2 linked regions of the Arabidopsis thaliana genome follow. The protein of the gene in region 2 interacts with the protein of the main gene of each other region in a pairwise test. Each region holds a gene or a part of one and is shown on either strand. Other genes may lie near its edges.

Region 1 (5,152 bases), about 25 Mb from region 2:
ACTAGCTGCAGCTATAGGTTCATAATCAAAACGGTCGAAAATGTCCTCAACAGAACCTCCAAGCTCCTCTTCAACAATGGATAAAGCTGTAGCAGAAGGGAAAGGAGGAACTTGATCCTGCAAAGCATAAGATCATAAAACTTAAAAAAGAAGAGCCTCACAGGCCACAAGTACAAATTCAAATAGAATAAAAAGAAATCAAACCTGAAGTTCTGACAATTGATCAACATACTCTTGAGGAAGAATATCCACTCTAGTAGAGAACTGTTGCCCAATTTTGATAAATGTAGGACCTAATCTCAAAATGTTTTCTTTCAACCACTTAGCCAAAACCTTCCTTCTTAAAACCTTCTTCTCTTCAGTCATTCCCCCTTATACACATGATTTTTCAAGAATTTAGACAAAATGAGAATCGTCCTAATCCTAGACGTAAGCAAACAAAAACAAGTATCAACCTTTATAAGAGAACTTCTTATTGCTTAACCAAGTCCTGAAAATAAACTGTACAACAAAACCCCAAATCTCCAATGTTCTTTGAATAGTTGAGTAAGTCTTGAATCTATTCCATCGACCACCAGGTGTAACAGAAACCTGTAAAACAATATTAAAGTAGCAAACTTTCAAGGAATTGAATCATTAAACAAAACGATATTGATTAAAAGTACATTACTTTATACCTCAACTTGTTTTTGTTGAGTGTTGTTCTTAAACCAAGCATCCTCTTGACCAATATCTTCTACTCTCTTCTTCCTCACTTCTTCTTTTCTCTTCTTTGTCACTTCCTCCGTTTCCACCGTTACACTTCCGTTCACATACTTCACCAAACTACCGTTACCGTTCAAACGAGCACTTCCGTTAAAATCTCCGTTGACGGATTTTCTCGCAGAGCCGTTACCGTTTAAACGTGCACTTCCGTTGTAATCACCGTTGATCTTCACTGCATTATCACGATCTTCAACAGCGACATTATCGTCTTTAGAAGCTCTGATTAATCTCGTACGAATCCGGAGATTGTGATTGTAGCTTAATCGGTTTCTGGGTAAGAAGATCCCGGCGATTGAAACGGAACGAGTGATTGTTGGAGATTGTCTTGAGTTGAAATTGATGTTTGGTAAAAGCAGAGACGACGATGAAGAAGAAGAAGTCGCCATTGATGGTAATACTTCGGAAGAGAGATCTCAAGTTAAACCCTAGTTTCTCATGGATTATTTGCGTACAAGAGATTTTGAAGAAGAAGAAGAAGAAGAAGGTGAAGACTTGTTGTTTGTTGGCACTTTGCAGTGAGAGGTTTTTTGAGGTTCATGACGAACCACAGAGAATGTTAAAAAAAAAAATTATGATAAAATAAAAGGGGTGGATATGAAAAGGACACGTGGCATAAGATGAGATTAGTGAAGGAGATGTTCTTGTGTTTTGATTGGTTGTGTTAAGACACCTCATCGTGTTATTTATCGGAGCCACAAACATTGTGCGATTTTTTTTATTGTTCCTTTTTCCAAACACTTTTATGGTCCATCTTCAAACCAAACTGATTGGTTCGGTCCTAAACTCGACTACTTGGTATGTTAATCTGGTCCTAAGCTATATGTATGACTTTTAGTTCAATTAAGTACTGAACCGATCCTATTCATTGAACAGAAAGCACCTAGAAACATCAAATTATCGCTAAAAATCGAGTAAACATATTATTACCTATTTAATTGACATTAACATATACATTGTATAATTTGAAGAATTCGTTGAACTTACAAGTTAATTCAGATATTTGGTCAAGTATTTTTCCTATATTAAGCTAATTATGACGAATTTTTAAAAATACAAATTAAATCAGAGGAAAAAGTTGGAAATTCGAAACTTTTCACTAGTCACGAAGCGACCAAAGTCTTACAACTTAAATACTTTTCTCAAAGTTGCAAATTTACCCCATAAGTTATATTTTAAGGCTATGGAAGCCCTCCTCCTCCCTCCTTCGCCGGAACCCCAAAATCAAATCACCAATCCGGCGAATTCAAAGCCAAATCATCAATCTGGTGACGTACATAAAGATGAGACGATGATGATGAAGAAGAAGAAGGATACGAATCCATCGAATTTGGAAAAGAGAAAACTCAAGGGAAAGAAGAAAGAGATTATGGACAACGACGAAGCTTCTTCGTCCTATTGTTCTACATCTTCTACCTCTAATTCAAATTCTACTAAAAGGGTTACGAGAGTGGTTCATAGATTACGAAACCCTATGCGGTTAGGTATGGCTCGACGAAGCGTTGGTGAACGACAAGCTGAAAAATTGGCGAAGCCTCTGGGCTTTTCACTTGCCGCTTTTGCTAATATGGTTCGATCAATTTCCAAACTTTGATCTTTATTGCATCACATAACTGTTTTGATACGAAATTGGCTTTGCTGGTACGGGTTGTTCCTATAGTTGACCTTGCGTGAATACTAGGTTTTGGTTGTGTTGAAAGTTTTGATCTTTAGATAGTATTAAATACAAAGTCTTTCAATTTAGGCTTTGTTGATTCAAAACTGGACAGAGGAGAGGATCTGAATCAGAGTCAAAAGGATTGAATCTGAATTTTCTTCTCTCAGTACTTGCGTGAATTCTTCACCCTGAATCGAAGAGAGGATCTTCTCCTCAAATTATAATCAGAGTCAATCAATAGAAGCTGAAGTTCTTCTTGGGGGTCTCTATGATCGAGCTTCAATGTAACATTGCAAATTTATATTGTCTTCTCTCTCACTTGCCTTAAAGCTTGAGCCTTTCTAGTTTCTACTCGGATTTGTAGTTCTGATTGTGATTTCACCAAATTTCATCCTACCTAGCCGCCAAAGTCATTGACTTGCATATGCTCTGTAGTTCTTACTCTGTTTCTACTCTGTTTTATTGTTCTCTAGGTTATTGCGAGAAAGAATGCCGCAGGTCAGAATGTTTATGTTGATGATCTTGTTGAGGTAAGTAGTATGAACTTCAAATGATTTCTTCTCAGTTTCTGTTCAATCTTTCTTTTGCCATCGTTTTGGTAGTGATACAAGAACTTCATTGATTATGCTCTCCAGATCTTTGCTACTCTTGTCGAAGAATCATTAGCCAATGTAAGCTAAAATCCCCCTCTATGTTTTCCGCATTTTTATATTTATAGACTTTCTGATTCATAATGTTGTGGTTACAGGTTTATGGTAATAAGCTTGGTTCCTTTGCGACCAACTTTGAGCAAACATTCAGCAGTACTCTAAAGATCCTTAAATTGACCAATGAATGTGCAAATCCACATCAGTCAAACAATAATGATGGTGGGAGTTGTAATTTAGATCGCTCTACCATAGACGGATGCTCAGACACCGAGCTATTTGAGAGGGAGACTTCATCTGCTACGTCTGCTTATGAAGTGATGCAAGGCAGTGCAACAGCAACCTCTTTGATGAATGAGCTTGCCCTTTTCGAAGAGACTCTACAACTCTCTTGTGTCCCTCCTAGAAGTTCAGCAATGGCTTTGACCACAGACGAAAGGTTTTTAAAAGAGCAAACACGAGCAAACGACCTAAAGACCGTGGAGATTGGTCTTCAAATAAGAGAGTTAAGGTGCAAAGAGACGGCGCTAGGATTAAAATTTGAATCAAACAACCTGGGGAAAGCGGCGCTAGAGTTGGATGTTTCGAAAGCTGCATTCAGAGCGGAGAAATTCAAAACCGAATTAGAAGATACAAGAAAAGAAGAGATGGTCACAAGAATCATGGATTGGCTCCTCGTAAGTGTCTTCAGCATGTTGGCTTCTATGGTACTTGGCGTTTACAATTTTTCAATAAAGAGAATCGAGGATGCTACCTCAGTATGCGACCAATCCGAGGAGAAAAGTTCGTCGTGGTGGGTTCCTAAACAAGTTTCATCGATTAACTCAGGCTTCAACACCTTCATCTGCCGGGTTCGAGTTTGGGTGCAGATATTTTTCGGTGTGTTAATGATCATTGTCTTCACTTACTTTCTAAACAAACGATCATCAGGTACGAAGCAGACAATGCCGATAAGTTTCATCGTTCTTTTCCTCGGTATATTTTGCGGTGTATCGGGTAAATTGTGTGTGGACACATTGGGCGGTGATGGCAAACTCTGGCTAATAGTTTGGGAAGTGTTTTGCCTTTTGCAATTCGTTGCAAATGTCTTCACATTGGCTTTGTATGGTCTAATGTTCGGTCCTATAAACGTGACTCAAGAGACCAGATCGAACCGTTGTAACAGTATGTTTCCATATTGGGCAAGGCGCAGTGTCGTGTATGTGGTGATTCTGTTTGTTCTTCCAGTCATAAACGGTCTTTTGCCATTTGCAACATTTGGTGAATGGAGAGACTTCGCTATGTATCACCTTCATGGTGGGTCTGACTATGCTTGAGACGAGGAGGCCATCTTTGTATTGTAATTTATTGTAACGATTTGGGTTTTTTAATCTTATTTTATTTTATGGGTGCTGTTGAAACAATTGTATCGCTATTACAAAGTTATGTATTCGAGTTATATGTTTGTATTGTTGTCAAAAGAAATTAAAATTATGCTTTTCGATATGACAAAATTTCATGGGTCAAATGGTACTTTATCTTATCAAGTTTTTGGATAAAAGTGCAAGTCAGTTTTGATTTGGAAGCTGGTTTAAATTGGATTGAACAATTTGATTTTTATGTTTGACAGCAATTGAACAGTTTGATTAAATTGTAAGTATTATGAATTTATGATGATGGTGATATCATATATAGAAGAAAATATTATGATATTGTGGGTGGGTCAAGTGGGTAAATGAGCAGGATTCTCTAATGTCTTAAAAATTCGATAATAATAATACAGAGAGACCTTTTTCTTTTATTTTCTCCATCCTCTTAATCGGCTTATCGGATCCGAATCCGGACCCGAAAGCCTGAAAACCCGACGATTAATTGCACGATGTCCGATGCTCCGTCGTCTTCCCCGGATGCCACGGCGTCGCACTGGTGCTATCACTGCAACAAACGCGTCGTCGTTGAAACCTTAGATGACTTTGTCGTGTGCTGCGAATGTAACAAAGGTTTCGTCGAGTCAATTCAACCGACTCCCGCCGCTTATTCATCGCCGGCGCCACCGCAGCCACTTTCCCCAGATCTGAATGTAGAAGACTCCAGTATTGGCTCGCAT
Region 2 (3,251 bases):
CACGTAAGTCACGCAACTATTTACATAATCTCATCAACCAAATGGTCCAAATCACATCAACACCTAAACCATCCGTTAATTATCATTCTTTTGAACTTTATTACTTTGTTGTAACCTGACTAACTACTTCTTCTTCTTTTTTTGAACCTGATTAACTTATTTTCAAAACTTTGAATATAATTACCTTTCTAACTTTTCATAACCTTAAAGATGGTGCCATATTGATTATATTTTGTTTTAATTTTCTTACTAGCTACCATCATAATTATGCTTATGTTAATTGGATCGGAAGCCATAATTATGCGCAACATGGTAACACATAATAGAAATATATCGTGGCCGACAAAAATAATTGCTTGCAAAGGCAACTCATTTTCTCTCCTTTTGTTCGTGATATCTCAGTGTTTTGAAATTGTTACTTTTATATAATTAATAGTTATCATCATAACCCATGACACAAAATTTCATAATTCAAACTATTGATCAATTCAAGAGATTCATATATCCTTATTAAGAAAGTACATCGATCAGCTAATGATGAAAATGTACTTTTTGGCCACTAAATAAAGTAAATGCTATAGGATTTCATTGTTCAGTTTCACAACTTTCATCAGTCGATATATATAGGTTTTTTCTTTTATCCAAAAGATGATATACATACTTGTGCATGTGCCTCTCGCTGGAAATATATTTACGATGTCAATAAAACTACTGGAATTTGGTCATTCGTTATCAAAACAGCTAGCAAATTTTAGTAAAGAAAAAAAGATTCCATCGATCGATCGCACATGTATATTTATAGAGTGGGTCGACGTGTAAAGTTGATAAAAACATTACATAAAAATAAATAAAAATCGAAAAAGCTATTCGAAATTATGGAACCTTTAATGAAACGTCCAATTATTGATCATCTTCGTGAACAAGAACGGAAACTTCTTCGCCGCTTGGCCACCGTGATAGCCGTCGTGGTGGATGACGCCATCGTTTGGTTGTAAACAGAGGAGAAGAACCGCTCGATCTCATCTTTGTTGACGATGATCTCATACTTGGACAATGACGTCATAAGCTTTCTCTTGCAAGATCTGATGCCGAGAGACGACGGTGTGGAAGGTGGACGGGGTTTCTGCGGTGGAGGAGGAGGAGTGGTGGCTGTGGTGGGAGGAATCTTGTGGTCGGAAGAAGTGGGAGTGGTGCAGCCGCCGCCGTCATCATCTCTGTTGGTGTTGGCTCGGATCTTGATGGCTGGTGGGAAATTCAAGATGGGCAGATCTTGTATTAAATCAAGATCCATTCTTTTTTGTTTATATAAATATTAAATGTATATGTTCTTGAAGAGTTGTTTTTTTGTTTGTGTGTTTTAGCGTGTGCCTGAACAAATCTTCTTAGAGAAGTGGACTTGTGGGTTTCTTATATATATGTGCTTCTGTCTTTACATACATGCCTTTTTGGTTGTATATGTGTTTATCTTTAATATAATTAGAAAGATAAGCGATGATAGAAATAAATCCACACTACTGCTACTTCTCTTCATTTACATTTGATAGATAAAAGTAAGCCACATGCCAAGTTAATCCATTACTATTAGTGAAAGCTTCCTTACAATCTTTTAAAAATAATGAAAACATATATTTTGAGGAAATAGTGATGTAATGGAATTTCTTACATGCATATTTAAACAACGAAAAATTTACTGAAATAAGTAAGGAATTCATAGTGCCTATTTTTCATGTCAGTAAAAAGAAATTGTATCTTTTATATATTGGGTTATGTTTTATTAACGAACCAATAATAAAAAAAACGTGTGTTACATGAAGCTTAAAAAGCTAGACAGTAAAGAAAATTCAATAGAGGAAGCAAAGAATATTTTAGACAAAAAAAAAAAAAAAAAGAGGAAGCAAAGAATATAAGTTTTTAAGATAAAATTCAGTTGTTTTCTACTGTAGAGAAAACAGTATATGCATCTATATATATACCGAAAGATAGAAAAGTCATCTTTCCAAAATGAAATAAAAGAAAAGAAAATGTAGAAAAGAGGGTATATATTCATATTTTTAGATTGAGAGTTACATCCACTTAAAAAAGAAGAATCAAATCAAGGAAGAGGGAACCTATATAGAATTAATTTACTTTAACAAAAATATTCAAAGAACATATTTTTTTTAAAAAATATCAAACTTCTATCAATCCGAATGTAGACTTAACATGCACGCATATAATTTAGTTTTTAGAAGGATATAAAAAGAAATCAAAATATTATTTTTGGTATCCTGTTTACATGCAAATTTGTTTGGTTAAAGTAGTAACATGCATTTGTTCAAAATAAAAAAAAAGTAGCAACATGCATATGTTTAGAAAAAATAATCAACCAGTAACATGCATATGTTTAGTTGAAGTACATAATAGATAGTTTATATTTATATAAAAAAATAGTTTATATTAATGAAAAATGAAAATCATATAAAAAATGAGGCAGATATATAAAGAGATTCAAATTTTACCTCAAAGTTTTTAATCTAGATCTAAACGTAGAGGTTGGTTAGAATTTATGTCGTGTACCGCTAAGGAAACTAGAGACATGTCATGTGTATAGACTTTAGAGTTTTTGTACATGCATGATGTATCAATTACATGCATATTTAACATATATACATATTTTGTCAAATTATACAAAATTATGTTAAAATATGTTTATAACTACGATCTGGGATATAATTGCAGTCGGTTTAATCTTATTTATTCTCTTTTAAATTAACCAAGATTCCATTGCAGAGAAAGTAGCATAATTTTATTAAGTAAGATTCCATTGGTATATCTTTTAATGATACTATTGACTATGATATTAACTTTTATCCGCACGACATCTACACGTTCGTTTTAATCATGTTTTTTTTTAATTTACTTACAACAGACTCCTCATGCCAATAATCATATTTCAAGAAAACAACTATATAGTTAAATTTGAATCTAGAAGTCAGCTTATACATGATGTATGCAGTGTATATCCAGACTTTAGTTACAAAGGTATTAAGGTAATTTAGTGTACAGAGAATCTATCATCTAAAGAAATGCCACGTGTCGAATTTAGAGGAGGCATGTAGTGTGATGTAGGGTTGATCTGTGGATGGATGCGACTGCCATTATCAGACAGTGAAAGCCCAAAAAAAAAAGGTACAGAAAAAGAAACAATCTCACTGATCTTTTTCTCAGTCTCTCACCGTCTTTTTTTTTTTTTTTTTTTTTTTCATTTTTAC

The links.
Region 1: the proteins of SIM (region 2) and CPR5 come close enough for resonance energy transfer, tested with the Arabidopsis thaliana proteins (one study listed by BioGRID).

The regions. Positions count from the first base shown.
Region 1 is NC_003076.8:25,945,115-25,950,266, reverse strand, and holds CPR5 (CPR5 protein), read left to right. Parts: upstream 1-1,869; 5' UTR 1,870-1,945; coding exon 1,946-2,332; intron 2,333-2,892; coding exon 2,893-2,949; intron 2,950-3,054; coding exon 3,055-3,090; intron 3,091-3,167; coding exon 3,168-4,382; 3' UTR 4,383-4,584; downstream 4,585-5,152. Other genes in the region: ATH13 (ABC2 homolog 13), read right to left, coding at 1-117, 205-371, 456-591, 678-1,151; CIP8 (COP1-interacting protein 8), read left to right, coding at 4,925-5,152.
Region 2 is NC_003076.8:1,265,986-1,269,236, forward strand, and holds SIM (cyclin-dependent protein kinase inhibitor), read right to left. Parts: upstream 1,432-3,251; 5' UTR 1,373-1,431; coding exon of another isoform or gene 1,362-1,372; 5' UTR 1,292-1,361; coding exon 908-1,291; 3' UTR 640-907; downstream 1-639. Other genes in the region: AT5G04475 (uncharacterized protein), read left to right, coding at 1,035-1,272, 1,362-1,372. UniProt on the Arabidopsis thaliana protein: Cyclin-dependent protein kinase (CDK) inhibitor that functions as a repressor of mitosis in the endoreduplication cell cycle. Inhibits the kinase activity of CYCD3-1/CDKA-1, CYCD2-1/CDKA-1 and CYCB1-1/CDKB1-1 complexes in a dose dependent manner.